Drosophila melanogaster: one gene and its partners. The main gene of each other region encodes a partner of the protein of the gene in region 3 in a complex. Each region holds a gene or a part of one and is shown on either strand. Other genes may lie near its edges. The genes, in order: eIF3h, eIF3d1, eIF3g2 and eIF3d2.

Region 1 (4,993 bases), on a different chromosome or scaffold from region 3:
ATTGTCGAGCATTGTTATCAGCCGGTTAACTGGCCAACCGATAACCGGTTTTCCGGCCTTCACTTACTTTTCTCTGTGCTTGCATTATGTTGGATAGACCCGAAAAGAGAAAAGAATGCACAACAAGAAATTGAGTACGTACAAAATTAACCGACTAAAATTGGATCATTCAACTTAGTGGGAGTATTAAAATTATAATAAATTCTGTATAGTATTATATATACTCCAAAAGTGAACAAACGAACTGGCACTTCATTTAAAATTTTCTTGTATCTAACTAATTCGTTTCCTGGATCCATTGATTATTATTATTATTATTTATGTTTATGTTTTACCTTTGAACAATATACATACACATTATCTAGCTTACCCACAGCATTTTTTTTTCTAATGTTCTCTATGTGTTTGTTTTTAATGCAATTAAATTTTCCGAAAGTTAGTTTCGTTTGTTTTCAGAACGAACCAGTGGAAGGAAAACTCACACTGATGAAAGACATTCAGCTCGGGCTCCTCGCAGGATTGAAGCAGCAGCTCCAACAGTTCGGCATCGCCCAGAATGGCCGCCGTGCCCACGGCAGTGCGTCCGCAAGTGGGCGATACATACGAGGCCTGGGCACCTTGCATGATGCAGCCCAGAGCCTGCTCGAAATCTCCGCTCTGTACGGCGGTTAGCAGGCGTTCGTTGAGGTCGTAGGACAGCATTTTGCCATCGGGTTAGTAATTTAGTTAGTTAGGCTAACTGAAGCTGGTTAGCGAAAAGGCGAAGCGAAAAGAACAAACCAAATGATAAGCAGCTGCTTGTGGGGTGGTGTGAAAAGTGCGTCGATGTCGTCAGTGGCAGCAACACTCCCCCGGAAAGTCTCATCGAGAAGTGAAACCAAACATCCGGCGTGCGCAGAAGCAGTACCAATTTTTGGCTGCATAGCGGGTGGTGGTTTTCTTTTTTTGGGGCGGTTTGAATTGGCCATTCTATTGAGCAAATGGAGAGTACAATAAAGAAGAAATCAGCTGGCAGTTCGCTTCCAAGCCCACTCATCGCTTGTTTGGTTTATTTTCGACGTCTGTGTGTGCAGTTGCTATGTTTGTGGGTAGTGAATGTTGTTGCCTCAGCTTAAAAAACGCTTAACATTAGCTAATCTATTTGGTTTCCTTTGCTTCCTTGGCAATTTGCAGCGATTCCGTGATGAAGAGTTTGGCCAGCGATTGCGAACAGAATTGTGCGATATGCTGGGCGTGGGTATTGATCTGGCCAGAGGTTATGGTGGCCGTCAGGCGGTTGGGCGCAGTCATGGGGCGGAACTGTTTGATCACTTCCTCCTCTGGCACCGTGGGCTCTCCCTTCGATGTGCGAACGGCGTTCTCGGCGGCCAGCTTAGCCAGAGCACGGTGCTTCTCCTAAAAAATATAAATGCAAGGAAAGCGATTAGGAATTTTTACATATTTAATTATATTGCTACGTACCGTATCCTGCTTGAAGACCACCTGCTGGTACTTGTTATAGCGCACTGCCTCCTGGTACAACTCGTCGACGCGCTCGATCAGGCTACGCATTTGGTTCTCCAATACGGTGGCGGTGCCCAGGTCCAGGAAGTTGTGCCCCTTGTCCTCGGGCAGCAGCTCGTTCAGCTCGCTCATCATAATGTTGGTCAGCGGCGAGTTCTTGATCACAATGGGAATCTCGGCGAAGAGGTTCTCGTAGCCGACCTTCAGGGTGCGGAATGCCTCTGGAGTGAAGTCGCCATCCTTGTACATCTGAATGGCCTGCGGAGTAAGGCGGTAGGCCTTCAAGCACAGGAATCCGCGGGATGACTTCTGCGTATCGTAGACGACAACGACGGACTCTTCAATGCTGGTCTGGTAGTGGTACTGCGATTCCAACAGAGCCATTGACAGGCTGTTGCCCACGTCGGAGCTCTGGTACCAGCCCACATGGAGATGATCTACGTTGACGCGACGCAGGCGACGCATCACGGTCAGCTGGTACATCTCCTCGTCCATGGTCTCATCGCCGCTCTTGGGAAACGGGAAGCAGTTGGTGATCTCCAGGCACTTGTCTACCACCAGACCGAGCAGGGCGCCCTGGGCGAGGTCCATGTTGCTCGACTCCTCATGGCAGTGCTTCACCATCTTCATGACGGCCTGCAAGGTAAAGTGATCGTAGTAATTATGTTCCAAAATCAATTAGCGACAGACAACTATTTGCATTTGAACAGGGGCGTGGAAAGTAGATATATTTCGGACTTTCTTTTAATAGTTTCTCTGAAGAAAACATTTGACTGAAGTTTTTTGTGCTATGGTAATGAAGAGACCGGCCCCCTTTTCCTTATAGCTCTACGCCCATGTCCTCACGAACACCCATACAAACACACACAAAGCACGCAAATTTCTGAGACAGCGCGTGGCATTAACTTTTCCGGCTTTCGCGCCGGTTCCCACGGGCCAATCTCGGCCAGGTCTTTTGGCCAACAGCACTACTCACCAGTCCGTCGCATTGGACGTAGTTAATGGTATTATCCGAATCCTCGGTGCGAGCAGCATGACGATTTGCGCGATTTGCCATGTTGACGAATTGTAAGCGAAAAGACCCACGACGTGAACTCGGCTGCAGTGGTAAAAGGGCGTTTCGCAACACCACAATTTTTGTGTGGGTTGAAGTGTTGAAAAGCGTGCACTGCTTTAAAATCAGCTGTTCGGGCGAGCGATAAAAAAAGGCCCAAAATATATTTTGTTTATCAGTGGAAAAGCAACAGAAACAAACTCAAAATTGTACTTCCTAGAAAACCGAGAAACGGCCCACTTGTCACGAACGAGCGGAACGGTACTGATAACTGCGGTTGCCGCAACTTGTAGCTAGTCTTAGTTCTCTTCGCATTAGCAACGCAACGCTGGCAGTACGAAGACCGCAGAAATGTCAACTAATTGGCGTGAATTGTTCCCCACCAAGCTCACATTTGTGATCTTCCTGTTGTACATGTCCCTATTCATAGGACAGGGTATGCAGCTGCCTTATTAAGGCTTTTTACGCAAGCCAAAGCCGCACCCTAATTCCTGTCTATTTTGCAGGCATCTTTGTCACAGCATCTCAGGAATCGAATAACTCCTATGGCTACAATACCGTCACGGTTGTGCTGCTAACCGAGGTCTTTAAATTGATAGTCTCCACCTGTCTGTATTGCCGAGAGTGAGTAGGAGTGGAGGCGCTCCTTTGTCTCGCTATTAAACCGCGATTTCATTCACAGCAACAACCTACGCTCCCTGGTGCGCGATGTTCAGAAGGATCGGAATGTATTGGGCTTGTACATGGTGCCCGCCTTTCTCTACTGCCTGTACAACAATTTGGCCTTTGTCAACTTGGCCACATTCGATCCCACCACCTACTATCTGCTACTGCAGCTACGTGTCGTTGTCACGGGCATACTATTCCAAATTATCTTCAAGAAGTACCTGTCGCAAAGGCAATGGATCTCCCTCATACTGCTGACACTCGGCTGTATGATGAAGCAGGTCGATTTCGGCAGCTTCTACAGCGATGCGAATGATGACAGCGAGTCCGCAGCCATACAGCAGCAGCTGCAATCACATAATAAAACAACTTCTGCAGAGACGCACGCTCACGGCAAGAACATGTCCGGCTTCGATTTTAGCCTGAGTGCCGTCTTCATTCTGGCACAGACAATTTGCTCTTGTCTGGCGGGCGTTTACAATGAGTATCTGCTTAAAGATAAGGGAGCCGATGTGAATATCTTTGTACAGAATGTCTTCATGTACCTGGACTCGATTGTCTGCAATGCAGTCATCCTCTTGCTGCGCGGCGAGCTCCTTGATGCCTTTAGTCCGCAGAATCTGGGCAGTATTATGCGCTTTAGCGTGCTAATCATTATTGTTAACAATGCGGCTATTGGCATTGTCACGAGTTTCTTCCTCAAGTACATGAACTCCATTCTAAAGACCTTCGCGAGCGCTCTGGAGTTGCTCTTCACGGCAGTCCTATGCTACTTCCTCTTCTCCATACCCATTTACATGAACACCGCGCTGGCCATCGCGGTTGTATCCTACGCCATCTATCTCTACACCCAAAGCCCGGTGGTTAATTTGGGCAAGGTGCGTCCGCTGTCCAATTTAAGTGATGCCACGACCAAATCAACGGATAAACGAAAGCTGATCGACGAGGAAGCGGCAGAATCGGACCTCGATATGGTGTAATGCTGTAGCTTGTCCTAGACGTAATCTTAGACTGTAAATAGTTGTGGAAAAGTGCCTGCAAATGTTTTAAACGCCAGACGAATGTATTTGACCCCAGGCTTTGTGCAATGCAATAGCAACAGGCTTGTAAATACCAAAACTTTTGCTCCTCTAGTTTAAGATTCTTATTTTAATCAGAACATAAATGCAATCAAACGAATATTGTGCATGCTTCTTCAAGAAGCTTTTTATTTTATGGTTCATATACTATCACATATGTACATGGTATATTTGGATGCCTGCTTGTCTTAGCCTAAAATGGTGTGTCCACATCATGTCCATCTTCCTGTTTGGGCGGTATGCGACTACGAAGCGCTATCTGCACCGCCTGGTTTTCGATGCTGCGGAGATAGTAGTCACACTCCTTCAGATGCTTCTCCATGTCCTGGACTCGGTGTGTGGCGTTGTACTTGCAGGTCTGCAGCGGCGGTCCACAGTAGTTCTTCTCGCACTTAATTAAGTGCTTGGGCATCCGGAAGAGCAAGATGCGGTGCGATTTGTCGTAAGGGCAAATTCCGTACTCGAAATCGGACATTTTGAAAAAGTCAAGAGCCGTTTGTCAAAACAACAAATTCATAAAGCTTAAGGTACCGCTATGTTTTAAAGTTTTAGTTATCGGTTGTGTTATCGGAAGTAAGGAATTTTCGATTTATTTATTTTTCAAACCAGCTGTCAAGATATTGACCTTATACGGAATACCCCCGATGAATATAGGGTCACACTGAGCAGACGCGCGTAAACCACCCCGTCC
Region 2 (5,364 bases), 3.3 Mb from region 3:
TGTAAGGCATCCCGAACCACGGCAGAAATACTGGCGCCCTACGGCAAGGAAACCCTTAAACTGGGCATCTCCTTTGTGCCCACCATTGTGTTCGAGAATGTGAGTAACCAACCCAACCAGGCTTACATGATCAAATACCAGACTTAACTTAACATTACCCTCTGATCCGCAGGACTTTGATCCTTACGACCAGAGAAGCATTCGCAACAACTTCGAAAGACACTTCTGTCGGCAGTATCTGAAAAAGTTCAACATCAAACTGCCCACTTGTTCCGCAATTTTGTAAACTTTTATGTAATGTACTGAGTAATTTAACTGTTTCAATGTTCCAAGACCAATAAACAATAATTATAACCAACTGGAGTGTTTGCTTACTCGCTGACTCACTTGGGGCCAATAAAAATTTACATGTGTATAGTATATACATATCAGCTTATCAGTCATGTTTTTGTATACAGATTCTAATCAGAAACAGCTGTCTGGTGGTCTAAAAATAAGATTAAAACCCCGCTGCTCAGTAAGTTTTCCGTAGTCAGCGCATAAATGTAAAGGGGAAAATGCTGGTTGACAGCAGGGGCGTCGAATTGGTTGGCTAGTCACACCCTTTATCTATATATTTATATTAATTTTTTCAAAAGCGGATATATTACAGAAAAATTATAAAAAACAAGCGAAAAGTCACCCTACTATTGCAATACAAATAATTATTTTTTTTTTAACTTATATGATTTTTGAGCCCCCCTTGAGCATTTTCTAACCACGCCACTGGCCGCTTCGAATTTGACGAAACGCAGTGACAACGCTGCGCATTACAAGTCCCGGAATTATTTCAGTGTCGAGCGTTCGCTGGCGTTGAGCGGCCGAATATTTCAAGATCAGCTCGGGATTAAACTGAATTTGCCATGAGGGCGGCTGTCTTTGTGTGTCTGCTGCTGGGATGGGTGGGCGTGGCCACGCCAAGGGTAAGTGACCCAGTTGATCGGACTGAATCCCGAATTGCGACGCTCCCATTGATCGTGACTTTGCAGCGTTTGCGCGGACCGCAAGCTGACCGACTGGCGATCACCCTGTACTACGAAGCATTGTGTCCCTACTGCATGGAGTTCGTGACCACGCAGCTCAATCCCTCGATGGTCCGTCAGGATCGACTTCCATTCACTGATCTTACGCTGGTTCCTTATGGAAATGCCAGGGTAGGTTTCATTTTTCGTAGCTTAAACTAGTAGTTATAGTACAAGTACATAGTATAGCTCAATTTGAAGTTTTAGAGTGTCAATCAGCGTTAATCCGCACTTAAACTTCGCTTAATCCCCTCCAGACGAACGATGACGGAAATGTGGAGTGCCAGCACGGAGTGATGGAGTGCGAATTGAACGCGTGGCACGCCTGCATACTGGAGCACCATGACATTGCCCAATCCCTCAAGCTGATCGCCTGCATGATGAGGGGTAAGAAGAACAGGCTGGAAAAGTGCGCTGACCACTATCAAATCGACGTGGGCGATGTCAAAAATTGCAAGAAAACGCGACAGGTGAACGACATTCTGAGGAAGTACGGCAAGGAAACGGCCAAGGTCTCATTTCAGGGAGTGCCAGCCGTAGCTCTGGATAACGTGAGTTTAAATGCGAAAGAAATTCATGAAATCTAAAATAAAACTTTGTGATTTTAAGGTTTATAACGCGGATCTATCAGCAAACTTAACTGATCATTTTGATGCCATTTTTTGCGCCAAGTATAAGGAAAAGTTCAATAAGCAGCTAAATAATTGTCAATAAATATTGTGTTCATTTAACAATACATTTTTTTATTAAAAAATATTTTTTGCATTTTCTTTGTAATTAAATCGTAAAATCAGGTTCTGAAAAATGAATAGTTCGAATTTTTAGTTTTCCCGCCCAGCAGTGGCGCCATCTATGACAGCATGCTGCCAGACCTTTGAACATTCGCTACGATTTTAGTATTTTTCTTTGGCGGTGGTATATTTCAACGCGACAACGGTCCCACTCAACTATTTTCGCAACACGCGACGATACGAATTTTCCACATTTCTTTGTTGATTTCTGGAAAATCGCTGTATATAGACCGAATAGCCGACTGCAGACTGAGCACCAGGTAAACGCGCGAGATGAGCGAGACCATAAACACCGCGGCTCAGTTCCCGAGCTTCGAGAAGCCGACCGTGCAGTTCAATGAAAAGGGCTGGGGTCCCTGCGAGCTGCCCGATACGTTCAAGGATGTGCCGTACCAGCCGTTCAGCAAGAACGATCGTCTGGGCAAGATCTGCGACTGGACGAATACGTCGAACAACGACAAGAAGTACCAGAGTGAGTTTATTCCCCACCCGAAACCGACCCACAAAATACTAATCGCCGAAAGTGAGGTTAGGTAGGTGTGTCGTGGCATGATATTGTTGCTAACATATTGGTGGTTGGTATTCCATTCGCAGACAAGTATGCCTCCAGCTTTGGCACGGGCATTCAGTACTCGTACTACCATGAGGAGGACGAGACAACCTTCCACCTGGTGGACACGGCCCGCGTCCAGAAGCCGCCGCACCAGCGCGGCCGGTTCCGCAACATGAGGAATTCGCGTTCCGGTCGTGGCAGGAATGCCCGCGGTGGCCTTAATACTCACGGCATGACGACGCTCAGCGGCAAGAATGTAAAGGCCCGCGATCCGCGCCATGGTCGCGGCATGGGCAAGAAGTTCGGTCATCGCGGACCACCACCAAAGATGCGCGAATCTTCGGTGGCCGTCCGCGCCGATTGGGCATCCATCGAGGAGATGGACTTCCCGCGACTCATCAAGCTGTCGCTGCCCAACATCAAGGAGGGCGTCGATATTGTCACCTGCGGCACGTTGGAGTACTACGACAAGACCTACGACCGCATCAATGTGAAGAACGAGAAGCCGCTGCAGAAGATCGATCGCATCGTGCATACGGTGACCACCACAGACGATCCCGTCATCCGGCGTTTGTCTAAGACCGTCGGCAATGTCTTCGCCACGGACGCCATCCTGGCCACCATCATGTGCTCTACGCGATCGAACTATTCCTGGGATATTGTCATCGAGAAAGTTGGTATGTTAAATGAAATACGAAATATAATAATAATAAGAGAAATAAATAATAATTGTAACCTTATTTTAGGCGACAAGGTGTTCATGGACAAGCGTGACCACACCGAGTTCGATCTGTTGACCGTGAACGAGAGCAGCGTGGAACCACCGACCGACGACGACAGCTCATGCAACTCCCCTCGCAACCTGGCCATCGAGGCGACTTTCATTAACCACAACTTTAGCCAGCAGGTGCTTAAGACTGGAGACCAGGAACCCAAATACAAGTTCGAGGAAAGCAACCCTTTCATCAGCGAGGACGAAGATATCCAAGTCGCCAGCGTGGGCTACCGCTACAAGAAGTGGGAGCTGGGAAGCGATATTGTAAGTGTTGCATAATCCAACTTTAAAGTTGGAATATTTTTCTATATTATGTTAAACTATTGTCTTATACTTTTAGGTCCTGGTAGCGCGTTGCGAGCACGATGGTGTCCTGCAGACGCCAAGCGGCGAGCCGCAGTTCATGACTATCAAGGCACTCAACGAGTGGGACTCGAAGTTGGCCAATGGCGTGGAATGGCGTCAAAAGTTGGACACGCAGCGCGGTGCTGTGCTCGCCAACGAGCTGAGGAACAACGCATGCAAGCTGGCCAAGTGGACTGTGCAGGCCGTCCTGGCCGGGTCCGATCAGCTAAAGCTCGGCTATGTGTCGCGTATCAATCCGAGAGATCACTCGCGTCACGTCATCCTCGGCACGCAGCAGTTCAAGCCGCATGAATTTGCCACTCAGATCAACCTGAGCATGGACAACGCCTGGGGAATCCTGAGATGCATCATCGATCTGGTGATGAAGCAGAAGGATGGCAAATACCTGATCATGAAGGACCCCAACAAGCCGATCATCCGTCTGTACGACATCCCAGACAATACTTTCGACTCCGATGACTCGGACGATGGCGAGGGCGATGACGAAGGTTTCCAGCAGGTCTACAACTACGCGCACAACAAGATTTAGACGCCACGCCCCCCTACTCCTGCATCCCTTCCAGTCTTGGGCTCTTTTGCCACAACCCGCTAAGAATAACCACAACTGATGTCCTCTAAAGGAAAAGGTCATGTTATAGGCCCTAGCTTAAGCATTTGTATTCGATTTAAATTCAGATATTTCCTAGTAAATCACAGAGGGCGAAACAATACATGAATTTTTATTGGTCCAGGTCTAATGCCGGGTACTTGTGATAAAAACTTTCGACTGAAACACCGAGGTCTTGTACGTAAATGACTGACTCATTTCCCGGACTCATATATAGTAAGCTGATTGTGCGTGTCGGGCATCTAGTTAAGATTTAGACATTGTTTAAACTCTGACGGTTAAAGATGGTCTTCCTACAAAGAGTGTACATATCCTTCCTGGTCCTGCATACTCAATTGCTGATGTACCTGGCTGAGTCTGGTAATATATGTTGCAAGTACTCCACATTGTATACGTTATAACATTCAAGAAAATGATTCATTTGGATATGGGTATTTCCTTGAATTTTAAAATATAAATAGCTTTGTTTCGTCCAATCATTATCTAAACATCCAATTAAAATGACTCACATAATATAATATTTATTAATATCCAATTCTTTACTGTATCAGAATATCCGCCTTGTAATCTGGATGAGAAATGCATTAGTCTAGCCCGCTGCACATCACTCTTGCCCTTTCTGAAGCCCCACAACATGACGCCAGCCGAGAAGGCGGTATTCGAGGACAGATATTGCGGCTATGGCCCCAAGGGGCAGGAATTATTGGACAGAGTTCTCATCTGCTGCCCAAATATGGGACACATTTTGCCAAATACCCAGATATGTGGACCAATCATGCCGGCTTATCGAATTTTCGGAGGAGAGGAGACGCAACCCAACGAGTTGCCTTGGATGGCCCTGATTCTATATGCGCATCGCAGCCGTTCGGTGTGGAATGAAAGACTCGTGTCCAGGTGCGCTGGATCCCTGATCACAAACCGCTATGTGCTGACCGCAGCCCATTGTCTGAGGATAACGGGATTGGATCTCAGGAGGGTGCGCCTTGGCGAGCATAACATTTTAAGCAATCCCGACTGCGTCACCCATATTAATGGTAGGGAACACTGCGCTCCAGAGCATCTGGAAATTGACGTCGATCTGAGTATCAAGCATAGGCACTACATGGTCTTCGAGGAAAGGCCCTACAACGACATCGCCCTGCTGCGATTGAAGTTTCCAGTACGGTTAGTTGCACTTGACCTGTCATATCTTTTACTACATATATATATAT
Region 3 (4,253 bases):
GCAACTTCCGCCGAAGGAAAAGCGAGCAAAAATATATTTATCGCCCAGCTGGGGCATCGAAGCTGCTTTTAAAGGCTTTTCCCGGTCGTGGCCGCGCATATGAGAGCTGGGTGAAAAACGGGAAAAGCGAGCGGGAAAACCTGCATGAAATGCAATTATCATAAATATTCAGACACTGTACGTTCACCGTTTGCCGGATCTCTTTAAGGCACATCCATATTTGGAGGACATTTAAAGGACAGCAGCGCGACAGCCATTAACCTGCACGGCCAACAAAAAGTAATTTCACTTTTAAATGAAAAAGTTCAAAGTGCGTTTGTTTATGCCAAACACACACTCTCGCACACAAATACAGAAAACCCACATGAGACGCTGGCCATAAAAACAAATGCCAAATGATTTTTGTTGCTGGTTTTCTGTATGCGATCCACTCCCCTATGACAAAAATTAGACGCTGGCCAGCAATTGTAATCGTAACTTTTTATTATGATACGTTAGCATTTGCAATCGAAATTGAATTGGAGTGGGACTCGGTTCAGAAAAAAGAAAAATATGCTTGAACAATTTGCGTGTTTTTTTCTATACGCAACGATTCTTTAACAATGTATGCTATTCCTGATATATGAACCGAATTTAAAATATGTTCTTATTTGAGCAATCAAAAGCAAACTTATATATATGCAGAAAGGATGTTGATTTAAGCCAGTATCTTGCATCGAAGTGAAGGAGTCAGCTACGAACATGTAAAGTATATATATTATTGATCAATGTTAAATGTTCTTCTATCCACAAAATAATCTCTCAGTGTTAAAGTTATCCGCATGAAACTTTCCCATTGCAAAAAGTATAAAAGTCGGTACGGACCATATAATACATAAATGATTGCTGAAGGAATATGCGGAGCACTAGAAAGTATAGAAAATAAATCATAATTTCTTAGTTCATAAAAGGTTTTAATTCGGTATACATTAGGTATTTTTCAATAAGCTTTCAGTCAATAATTCCCAGCACTCGAGCCTTGCTGAGAAAATCTGTGCGCTGCACATAGGAACCGGACATGGTACGACTTCCTGTGTATGCCTCTCGACCATGGAGCACTCTCCAGTTATCGAAAAGAACAATGCTGCCGGGACATAGCTTGAGAGCCCACTGCTGTTGCTTATCCCTGACGATTAGCAAAAGCTGGCGAAGACTGTCATAGAACTCGGCCATTTCGGCTTGAGGGATGGTATTAAACACGGCGCGATCATATACATTTAGTCTGAGTTGAACAAATTCCTGAGTCAGTGGATCCACCTGTATAATGGGGGCAGTGTGGTAGTGGTGCTCCCCTTTTTCGATGTACTCTCCAGGAACTTGGACACTGCACAGTACATCATAAGCGGCGGGATACCGGCGTTTCAGTTCGTGAACCACATGCAGACCATCAACAAAGAAATTTTCGCCACCCGATCCCGAGTGCTCAATGCAATGTAGAGCCTGTAGTCCGGCTGCATCGCAGAAATAGGTATTATCCGTATGGGAACCCAGGTAAAGTTTGGTATAAGCGGTGTCCGCGTGATCGGGGTTATCGCTAAAAGTCCACATTTCGCCAAAGAACGTTTTCATAAGGGGGAAAACTCGTCGCAGAGCCAATTCTGTCATATTCGCGGTGGGAGCCACATCATCGATAAAGACAATGCCATAACGCACCAGAGATTCAACCAGGGATCTGACTTCGTTATCACTGGAAACCAGCTGGGGCAATGGGAATCGTAAGTGCCGTTCGTTTTGCAAGATAATGCTACGATTCCATGGTGTCAGATTAGTGGACTTTGATCGCCGACCTATCAACCTCTCCAGCTGTGAGTCGAAGATAAAGTCCAGGTCATAGTTCGACTTGTGAGCATCACTCCCTAAAATGGCAGGCCAATAAAATCGAAGCTAGGTGCATTTTACATCAATTTTTTCTTACACTGCACTTGTAGATTCATCCCGTCGTATTTGACATCTAGTGGCATTATATCAGCTGGTAGATCTAAGACATCGTATCGCCTCTGATTTGTTTCGAAATTTAGACACTCCACACATCGACAATGATCACGGAGCCAAAACTCATTGATTTCTATTGATTGGCTGGTTTTCGGGTGCTTCAAAAGCAACATGTTAATGCCAATAGAACAACCGACGGACTAGAGCAGTGAAAGTGAACTAACAGCTCAAAGTTTGATTAAGTTTCAGCTCGGTTTTAATTGTACTGTTATCAGTAGGAGAGCGATTACTTTCATGCTCAAGTCAGAGATAAGAACTTATTTGTTTACGGAATAACTATAAGATTAATAAATTTATTGAATTTAAAGACAATATGTAATTATTAAGAACAACTCATGAAAGTAAAAAAATTTATAATTTAATCAAGATTGATTGAATGGTATGTTTTTGTTGCAAAGTTATCTTAGTGAATTGCTACTCAAGTTGTTGTATTTTTTATTAAAAAATCATTACTTTAAAGAAAATATAAATATTAATTTCAAATATCTTTTATTGAAAGGGATTTTTTCCCATCTCAACAGGCCAAGTAAAATTCAAATGGAAAAACTCTCTCTAAAACTAGAGATCTCTAAGTTTTTAATTCATTTTGTACCGGTTGTGTGGGAAATCATAAAAAATGAAGACTTTCGTTACTTCCTGGGCCGATGAGGTGGATGCGGACTATGTGGATGGACTGCCGCCTTCTAATGAGTACATTAAGGGCGACTTCAAGTACGTGACGGAGTATAAGTTCAACGATGATGGCAAGAAGGTGAAAGTGGTGCGAACCTTCAAGATCGAGAAGCAGATTGTTCCGAAGGCTGTGGCTCGTCGTCGCAACTGGGTTAAGTTTGGGGATTCGCGATCGGACAAGCCCGGACCCAATTCCCAGACGACAATGGCCTCCGAGGAGATCTTTATGCAATTCATCGGCTCCAAAGATTTCGACCAGACCCACGAAACCCAACTTGATCCCGGCAAGAACATCGCCAAGTGCCGCATTTGCAATGGCGAACACTGGAGTGTCAATTGTCCCTACAAGGGCACCTCGATGGATAGCAAAACCGTGATGGAAACCAAGGCCAATGCCGCTGCAGCTGCCGCTATAAGTGATCCCAGCAAGACCGGAAAATATGTACCACCCTTCATGAAGGACGGCGGAGGCATATCTGGCAGCAAAAATTGGGGACGGGGTCGGGATCGGGACGATTCGTCGGCAGTTCGCATCTCAAACCTATCCGAATCCATGACCGAGACTGATCTCGAGGAGCTGGTAAAGAAAATCGGACCACACACCAAGATGTATTTGGCGCGCGAAAAAAACAGCGGCCTCTGCAAGGGATTCGCCTACGTGCACTTCAAGTTCCGCCAGGATGCAGCTGCCGCCATTGAGGTTCTTAATGGCCACGGCTACGACCACTTGATCCTCTGCGTCGAGTGGTCCAAGCCTCAGCCGTAATGGCTATAGCCTTGTGTATTCGCTTCTCTGCTTATTCGAGAACGGAAATGAGCTGCGGTGGCAGTGAAATCAAAATAAAATTCTGGTACACCCTGCAAAATATGCGACCACTTTTATTTTTAATTTGCACACATTCGATAATTACAGAGAATATATTAATAATAATATAAAATCTATTTATTAATGTTTCGTAGTAGATTTTTTCATCTTTCAGTTGAGCAAAGGATATGAATTGAGATAGATATGAAAATTGTTAAAAACAGTCTGGTTCATTTGGGACCACTCAATTTTCGAGTTGATATACCCTTGGACATCCAAGGTGGATGCTTTTTTTAAGTGCATAAAAGAGAAAGCTCGCCTTGAGCGAACTAAAGCCGATAATGCTCCGTTTTAAATGCGATTTTTTCGCCGTGCTCCGCAGCCGTACAAAGGTGAAAGCCACTTAAATGGAAGCCAACGTGGTGCCGGATGATGATGGCACGGCGTTCCCGGCAAGAGCTGAGAAATGCCACAAGACGCTGGCCGGACCGAATGAACATTAATAATTAAATATAAGAGCGGACTTATGCGCACGATACTTGGAGCGGAGCCCCTCAGAACGGGACGCCAACTACGCGACCATGACGTTGAACCGGGAATGAGTGGTCGGTGGATAGTGTTCGCGGGAAAGTCCCGGCTTAGATACACATTTTGAATGAGGGGCGGATCAAAGCCAGGCACAAAAGAAATTTATTTCCATTGTTGTTGCTGTTGCGGTGGTATGGGATGGGTAGCAGCTAAAGCA
Region 4 (5,243 bases), 8.2 Mb from region 3:
CAGACGGCTTCCGAGGCTCCAGCTACCATAACCCCATTTCAGCGAAAAAAGCGAGTGAGGCAAATTGAAATGAAATTGAATTTAGTTGGAGGTCGCAGGAGCTGAAAAAGTTGACGCGGGTGTGGCAGTTTTATTTACAACTATTCCTCATGTGATGTGATGCTGGGAAAATGCAAAAGAGTTTAATTTGCAATTTGTCGCCCTCATTCAACGCTTAACTTTTCACTCGGGCGGTGTTTGTGGTTGCATATGCAAATGCCTTGGCCATCTAAACCCATACCTCAGCCCACTAACCCACACCCTGTGTTCTGGGCTCTCCGGTCTGTGTTCTCCGTTACCCCGGAATGGCCCGCAGCCCTGCATATGCGATAAAATGTACAAAGTTTTGCGTTAAGGCCCCACTTGAGTTGGGCTAGGAGTTGTTGCCGCTGGCAAGTGCCCTGGCCAACCCGGCCTGCCAGTTTGTTAAACGCCTTTCAACGGCGTGGTTAGCCAAGCGCAGACCTTGAAATGCCACGCCAGTCCTGGCCAGAAGCCGAAGCTACAACTGCAGCTACAGCTAAGGCTAAAGCTGGTAGCTAAAGCCGGTAGTTGCCAGCTGGTAGTCGGTAGTCTGTACTCCGTAGTTGGTGGTACATGGTAGCTGAAGCCACTCGAGCAGCTAACCAGCCGGAGCCAACTTTTCTGCGGCAAACGCTTTAAAAAACCAGTCCGCAATAGTCATTTCGTAAGTTGGTCCTGCAGGCACACACACAGGCACACATGTTGATTTAGCAAACAAAATGTTTTAATTGAATAACACTTTGGTGTTTCACTGCTGCTTACTGGCAAGATCAAGTGCCTTTCCGGCCAACTGTGCGTATACTTGATGTGCACACATATACATATGTATGTGCTGCATTGTGAATCTGTGCACTGCCACATAATGGACCGACTTTATCAATCAAATTTGCCGCAGGCAGGGAATTAAAATTAATCGGTTTCAATTTTCATTTGCGTAAATTCCCTAAATATTTTCACACACTTATTTCACACCCAGGCATCATCATTTGCTCATCCTGTCTGGGGAAGAAAGGGAGTGCAAGCCTATCCATGCAAATTGAATAGGTCTAAATTCAATTTGGCGCTGAACAAAAAGAAATTGGCGGACGGAGAAACAAAAACAAAAATGCGCAAAACATTTTGGTAATTTAGTTGAGCGATTTGCATTTCCGTTGGGGAATAATTTCTGCACTTTTGTGCTCACTGACTGCCCAAATTGAATTGCCAAATAACAAAAAAGGCAGGATGCATATGAAATTCGAGCACATATATGAATTTAATTAAATGCTGTTGAATACGAAAACATTTTGCTTAAATTGTCGCACGCCAAGCACCACAGCAGCATCAGAATTTGCATTGATTGATGCCGTGTTCGGTGATTTATTGATCCTGAGGTTTGTCACCCAAACAGCCCTTCACCCATTTCAGCCCCAGTTCCACTCCCCCGCAATTATTGTGATTGTCAGTCGGTAATGGCGGGGGATGTTCTGCACAATGCATATTTATTTAGCCGGGTTTCATTTTGTATTTCTTGGAACCGCAGTGATTGATGTGGCCATGTTATCCTCAAAATAACTGTGACTGCACCCGGTCACCCGGTCCGTTGTTCACTGACATGTCAAGTGATGGCTCCGTTCATATGTTGTGTTTGGTCAAAAACTCAATTTAAATTGCATTTGTGTTCACTGCGCATCTGTCAGCATGTGTCGGCTTGTCTCGTCCGTCGACGGATCCCCTTGTTCGGAGAACTATTAGTTGAATAAATTCGTGAGGGCGTTAGTTATCGTTGGAGTTACTCAAGGGATCGCTGGACTCCTCCTCCTCATCGCCGTCGGAGTCGAAGGCGTTTTCCGGAACGTCATACAGACGGATCATCGGCTTGTTGGGATCCTTCATGATCAGATACTTTCCATCCGGTTGCCTCATCACAAGGTCAATTAGGCAACGCAATACTCCCCAGGCATTGTCCATGTTCAGGTTGATTTGGGTGGCGAACTCCTGCGGCTTGAATTGCTGTGTGCCAAGGATCACGTGACGCAGGTGATCACGCGGATTCATCCTGGACACATAGCCTAACTTCAGTTGATCGGAACCAGCCAGCACAGCCTCAACGGTCCATCGAGCTAGCTTACAAGCATTGTTGCGCAACTCGGAGGCCAAGACTGCACCGCGCTGGGTGTCCAACTTCTGGCGCCACTCCACACTGTTGGTCACCTTGGAGTCCCATTCATTCAGCGCCTTGATCGAGAGGAACTGCACGTCCCCATTGGGTCCTTGGATAACCCCATTGTGCTTGCAGCGAGCAATCAGCACCACATCGTTGCCCAGATCCCACTGACGGTAGCGATAGCCAATGGAGGCAAGATCCACGCCTGGCTCCTCGAACGGATTGGGCTCCTCAAACATGAAACGTGGCTCTTGGTCGCCAATGCGAAGAACCTTTTAAAAATAAATAACATAAGATTTAAAAACGTACAATAACAAATAACATAAATTGAAACCTACTGTAAACCTACCTGCTGGCTAAAGTTGTGATTAATTAGAGTGGCCTCCATTGCCAAGCTATGTGCCGAATTGATGGAACCCTCCTCATCCATCGGAGGTTCTACTGAAGTCTCGTTGACAGTCAGCAAATCAAATTGATCATTATATCTCTTATCTAAGAACACCTTAGTGCCCAATTTCTCGACTACCACATCCCAAGAGTAATTGGAGCGTGTGCAGCACATTATGGTGGACAAGATTTCGTCGGTGGCAAAGACATTGCCCATGGTCCTCGAAAGACGACGAATAACCGGATCATCCGTGGTCGTCACGGTGTGCACAACACGATCCATCTTTTGCAATGGTTTTTCATTGCGTAAGTTGACTCGATCGTATAACTTATCATAAAATTCCAGCCATCCGCAGGTGGCAATGTCCTTACCATCTTTAATATTGGGAAGTGCCAGCTTGAGAAGGCGTGGAAAATCAATCTCCTCGATCGAAACCCAATCCGATTGCACCATCACTGAGCTCTCGCGGATTCTGGTGGGAGCATTGCGACCGAATCTGCGACCCATATTCTGCGTGTTGCGTGTATTGCGACCCTTTCCGTACTTGGTGGTACTGGCAGTTGCGCCTCCAGCCGTGGATCCCCCGAGACTTGCTATATTCGGAGTGCCACGCCCCGTGCGACCCCTGCTCCTCACATTGTTGCGCATATTGGGTCTATAGCGTCCCCGCTGATAGGGCTTGGTGGCCTTCGATCCAGTGGTGTCCACCAAATGGAAGGTGGAGTCATCGTCCTCGTAGAAGTATGCGTACTGACTGTTGTTGCCAAAGGTCGAGGCGTATTTACTGGGGAACTTCTTCTCGGGCACCATCGCAGTCCAGTCGCAGATCTTGCCCAGGCGATCACTTTTGCAGAACGGCTGGTAGGGCACATCCAATTCGGGTACCTCGCAAGGACCCCAGCCGTGCTCGTTGTACTCCACATAGGGCTTGATAAAGGGTGCGTAGTTGGACATAATCACGCCGAAAGATGTTTAAATAACCAAGAGCAAGTATTTACATTTATGTGATCCGGTTTTGTCGAGGTACAAATTACACTGAGCTGATTTCGTATGGCCGGCTTGACAGCTTGGGAAAATTTTCCAAGCCCTACGTTTGGATAATGTTATAATATGAAAAAGGCGGTTTTATCCATTAAGGAAATAACCGAATATCCAATCTTTAAATAATTTTTGATAGACAACTAAAAAGATTTCTTCAAAAGCCTATAGTAAGTAGATTGAAGCCTATTGTGAGAAATCAAAAGATACCAATTCCTCACAATAAAAGCTCAGTCTTATTTGTATTTCTAGTCACACCGAAACCCTATAAACTACACAAAGTGAGAAGTAAGACGTTTGGAGAATGAATCTTAGGAGGACGCCCTGCCCCCAATTAAACACCACCGCAACCACAATGAAGAAATGTGTAATTGCCTGTTCGTCTTTCGGTTCTCCGTCAACGTCGTGCTGCTCTCATTGGCCACGATTATTCTCATCCTCCGCATGGTGAGCTGATCCAGGATGGGCGCGGGGATCCCCTTCCAGCCGACAAATTCTTGTTTCTTATTATCTTTTATAAAAAACCCTCACTAAGCGCACAAATAAATGTTTGTTGAGCTGTGGAAATGGTACAGGAAGCGGGGTACTGTGACGGGATTATCACTTGACGACGCATCTAAGCTCACATCGACATGACTCCATTCATATGACTCCAACTCCAGCACCATTGTTCTGACCCAAGTATCAGGAAAGCAAAGGAACAACAGCGGAGTGCACTACAATGGGACGAGTGTCCTGTGTGCTGGATCTGGTCAACTTGGCTCAGTCCTCACTGTGTTCCGGTTCGGTTTCCTTATTCTTGGCTGGGAGCACCTTACAACAATCTCGTTAAGCGTAAAGGCCAAATTATAGTAAAACTAACAGAAGGCAAAAGGTAATCACATAAAAAGCTTGTTAGATAACAACGTGTGAGGCGGCGAAAAAGGAAGCGGACATCCTGCACTCCGGCTCATACCCAAAAAGCAACATGTCGAGCGTGTGAATGTGCCTGAATGTGTGGAAAATGATATGGGTGCGAGCGGGATGACAGTGGGAGTGCGGTGCCTCCGCCCCTCTTCCAGCACCCAGATCCTGAGCTAAGCTTTGTCAAGCGACAGGGTGTCATGTTGATGTGTATGTCACTGGCAGCTGCTGCTTACATGGCCCGGCTCCAGATTCCCTCGCACTTCTCTGTTGATACACTGCGAGAATATGAAGAGATAATGTCAAATGTAAGAATAGAAGACCAAGAATGCATACCAAGAATATAATAATGGGTTCTGTGGAGCAATAACAATGGGAACTTATTTTGACTGAAATAATTCCTATTTTACCATTGAATTGATTTCAGTGTAGCCATAAGCCGTGGATGAGTGTGCGTCTGAGTGAGTGTATGTGTGTGTGGATTATAATTGCCATGCGGCTGTCAGTGACTGCAGGCGGCGCCTAACTGCACACAGCTGCAGATGTGCGGCTCGTGTTGCAATATCATTTTTAATGCAAACCGCATGCCACATTATGCAGCTGCATTGCCACGTCACCGCTGCGGTTTCTCCATCCCCATCCGCCTTCCGCTTTCCAACCTCCGGATTTACCCTCTCATCTCCAGCTCATCTGCAATCGCTCCTG

What was found.
Region 1: eIF3g2 (region 3) and eIF3h share a complex: the UniProt entries of both Drosophila melanogaster proteins name them as parts of the eukaryotic translation initiation factor 3 (eIF-3) complex.
Region 2: eIF3g2 (region 3) and eIF3d1 share a complex: the UniProt entries of both Drosophila melanogaster proteins name them as parts of the eukaryotic translation initiation factor 3 (eIF-3) complex.
Region 4: eIF3g2 (region 3) and eIF3d2 share a complex: the UniProt entries of both Drosophila melanogaster proteins name them as parts of the eukaryotic translation initiation factor 3 (eIF-3) complex.

Annotation. Positions count from the first base shown.
Region 1 is NT_033779.5:5,050,176-5,055,168, forward strand, and holds eIF3h (eukaryotic translation initiation factor 3 subunit h), read right to left. Parts: upstream 2,909-4,993; 5' UTR 2,561-2,908; coding exon 2,480-2,560; intron 2,140-2,479; coding exon 1,462-2,139; intron 1,396-1,461; coding exon 1,138-1,395; 3' UTR 1,018-1,137; downstream 1-1,017. Other genes in the region: CG9121 (uncharacterized protein), read right to left, coding at 483-702; senju, read left to right, coding at 2,909-2,993, 3,064-3,181, 3,240-4,203; CG14036 (uncharacterized protein), read right to left, coding at 4,496-4,777. UniProt on the Drosophila melanogaster protein: Component of the eukaryotic translation initiation factor 3 (eIF-3) complex, which is involved in protein synthesis of a specialized repertoire of mRNAs and, together with other initiation factors, stimulates binding of mRNA and methionyl-tRNAi to the 40S ribosome.
Region 2 is NT_033777.3:23,678,066-23,683,429, forward strand, and holds eIF3d1 (eukaryotic translation initiation factor 3 subunit d1), read left to right. Parts: upstream 1-1,973; 5' UTR 1,974-2,125; coding exon 2,126-2,324; intron 2,325-2,446; coding exon 2,447-3,082; intron 3,083-3,151; coding exon 3,152-3,444; intron 3,445-3,520; coding exon 3,521-4,075; 3' UTR 4,076-4,252; downstream 4,253-5,364. Other genes in the region: GILT3 (Gamma-interferon-inducible lysosomal thiol reductase 3), read left to right, coding at 1-99, 173-286; GILT2 (Gamma-interferon-inducible lysosomal thiol reductase 2), read left to right, coding at 903-962, 1,029-1,193, 1,319-1,612, 1,671-1,775; CG16710 (uncharacterized protein), read left to right, coding at 4,438-4,513, 4,705-5,317. UniProt on the Drosophila melanogaster protein: mRNA cap-binding component of the eukaryotic translation initiation factor 3 (eIF-3) complex, which is involved in protein synthesis of a specialized repertoire of mRNAs and, together with other initiation factors, stimulates binding of mRNA and methionyl-tRNAi to the 40S ribosome.
Region 3 is NT_033777.3:20,405,680-20,409,932, forward strand, and holds eIF3g2 (eukaryotic translation initiation factor 3 subunit g2), read left to right. Parts: upstream 1-2,585; 5' UTR 2,586-2,647; coding exon 2,648-3,469; 3' UTR 3,470-3,564; downstream 3,565-4,253. Other genes in the region: Tmlh (trimethyllysine hydroxylase), read right to left, coding at 991-1,895, 1,955-2,144. UniProt on the Drosophila melanogaster protein: RNA-binding component of the eukaryotic translation initiation factor 3 (eIF-3) complex, which is involved in protein synthesis of a specialized repertoire of mRNAs and, together with other initiation factors, stimulates binding of mRNA and methionyl-tRNAi to the 40S ribosome.
Region 4 is NT_033777.3:12,191,402-12,196,644, forward strand, and holds eIF3d2 (eukaryotic translation initiation factor 3 subunit d2), read right to left. Parts: upstream 3,611-5,243; 5' UTR 3,552-3,610; coding exon 2,559-3,551; intron 2,482-2,558; coding exon 1,819-2,481; 3' UTR 1,302-1,818; downstream 1-1,301. Other genes in the region: CG43450 (uncharacterized protein), read left to right, coding at 3,940-4,086. UniProt on the Drosophila melanogaster protein: mRNA cap-binding component of the eukaryotic translation initiation factor 3 (eIF-3) complex, which is involved in protein synthesis of a specialized repertoire of mRNAs and, together with other initiation factors, stimulates binding of mRNA and methionyl-tRNAi to the 40S ribosome.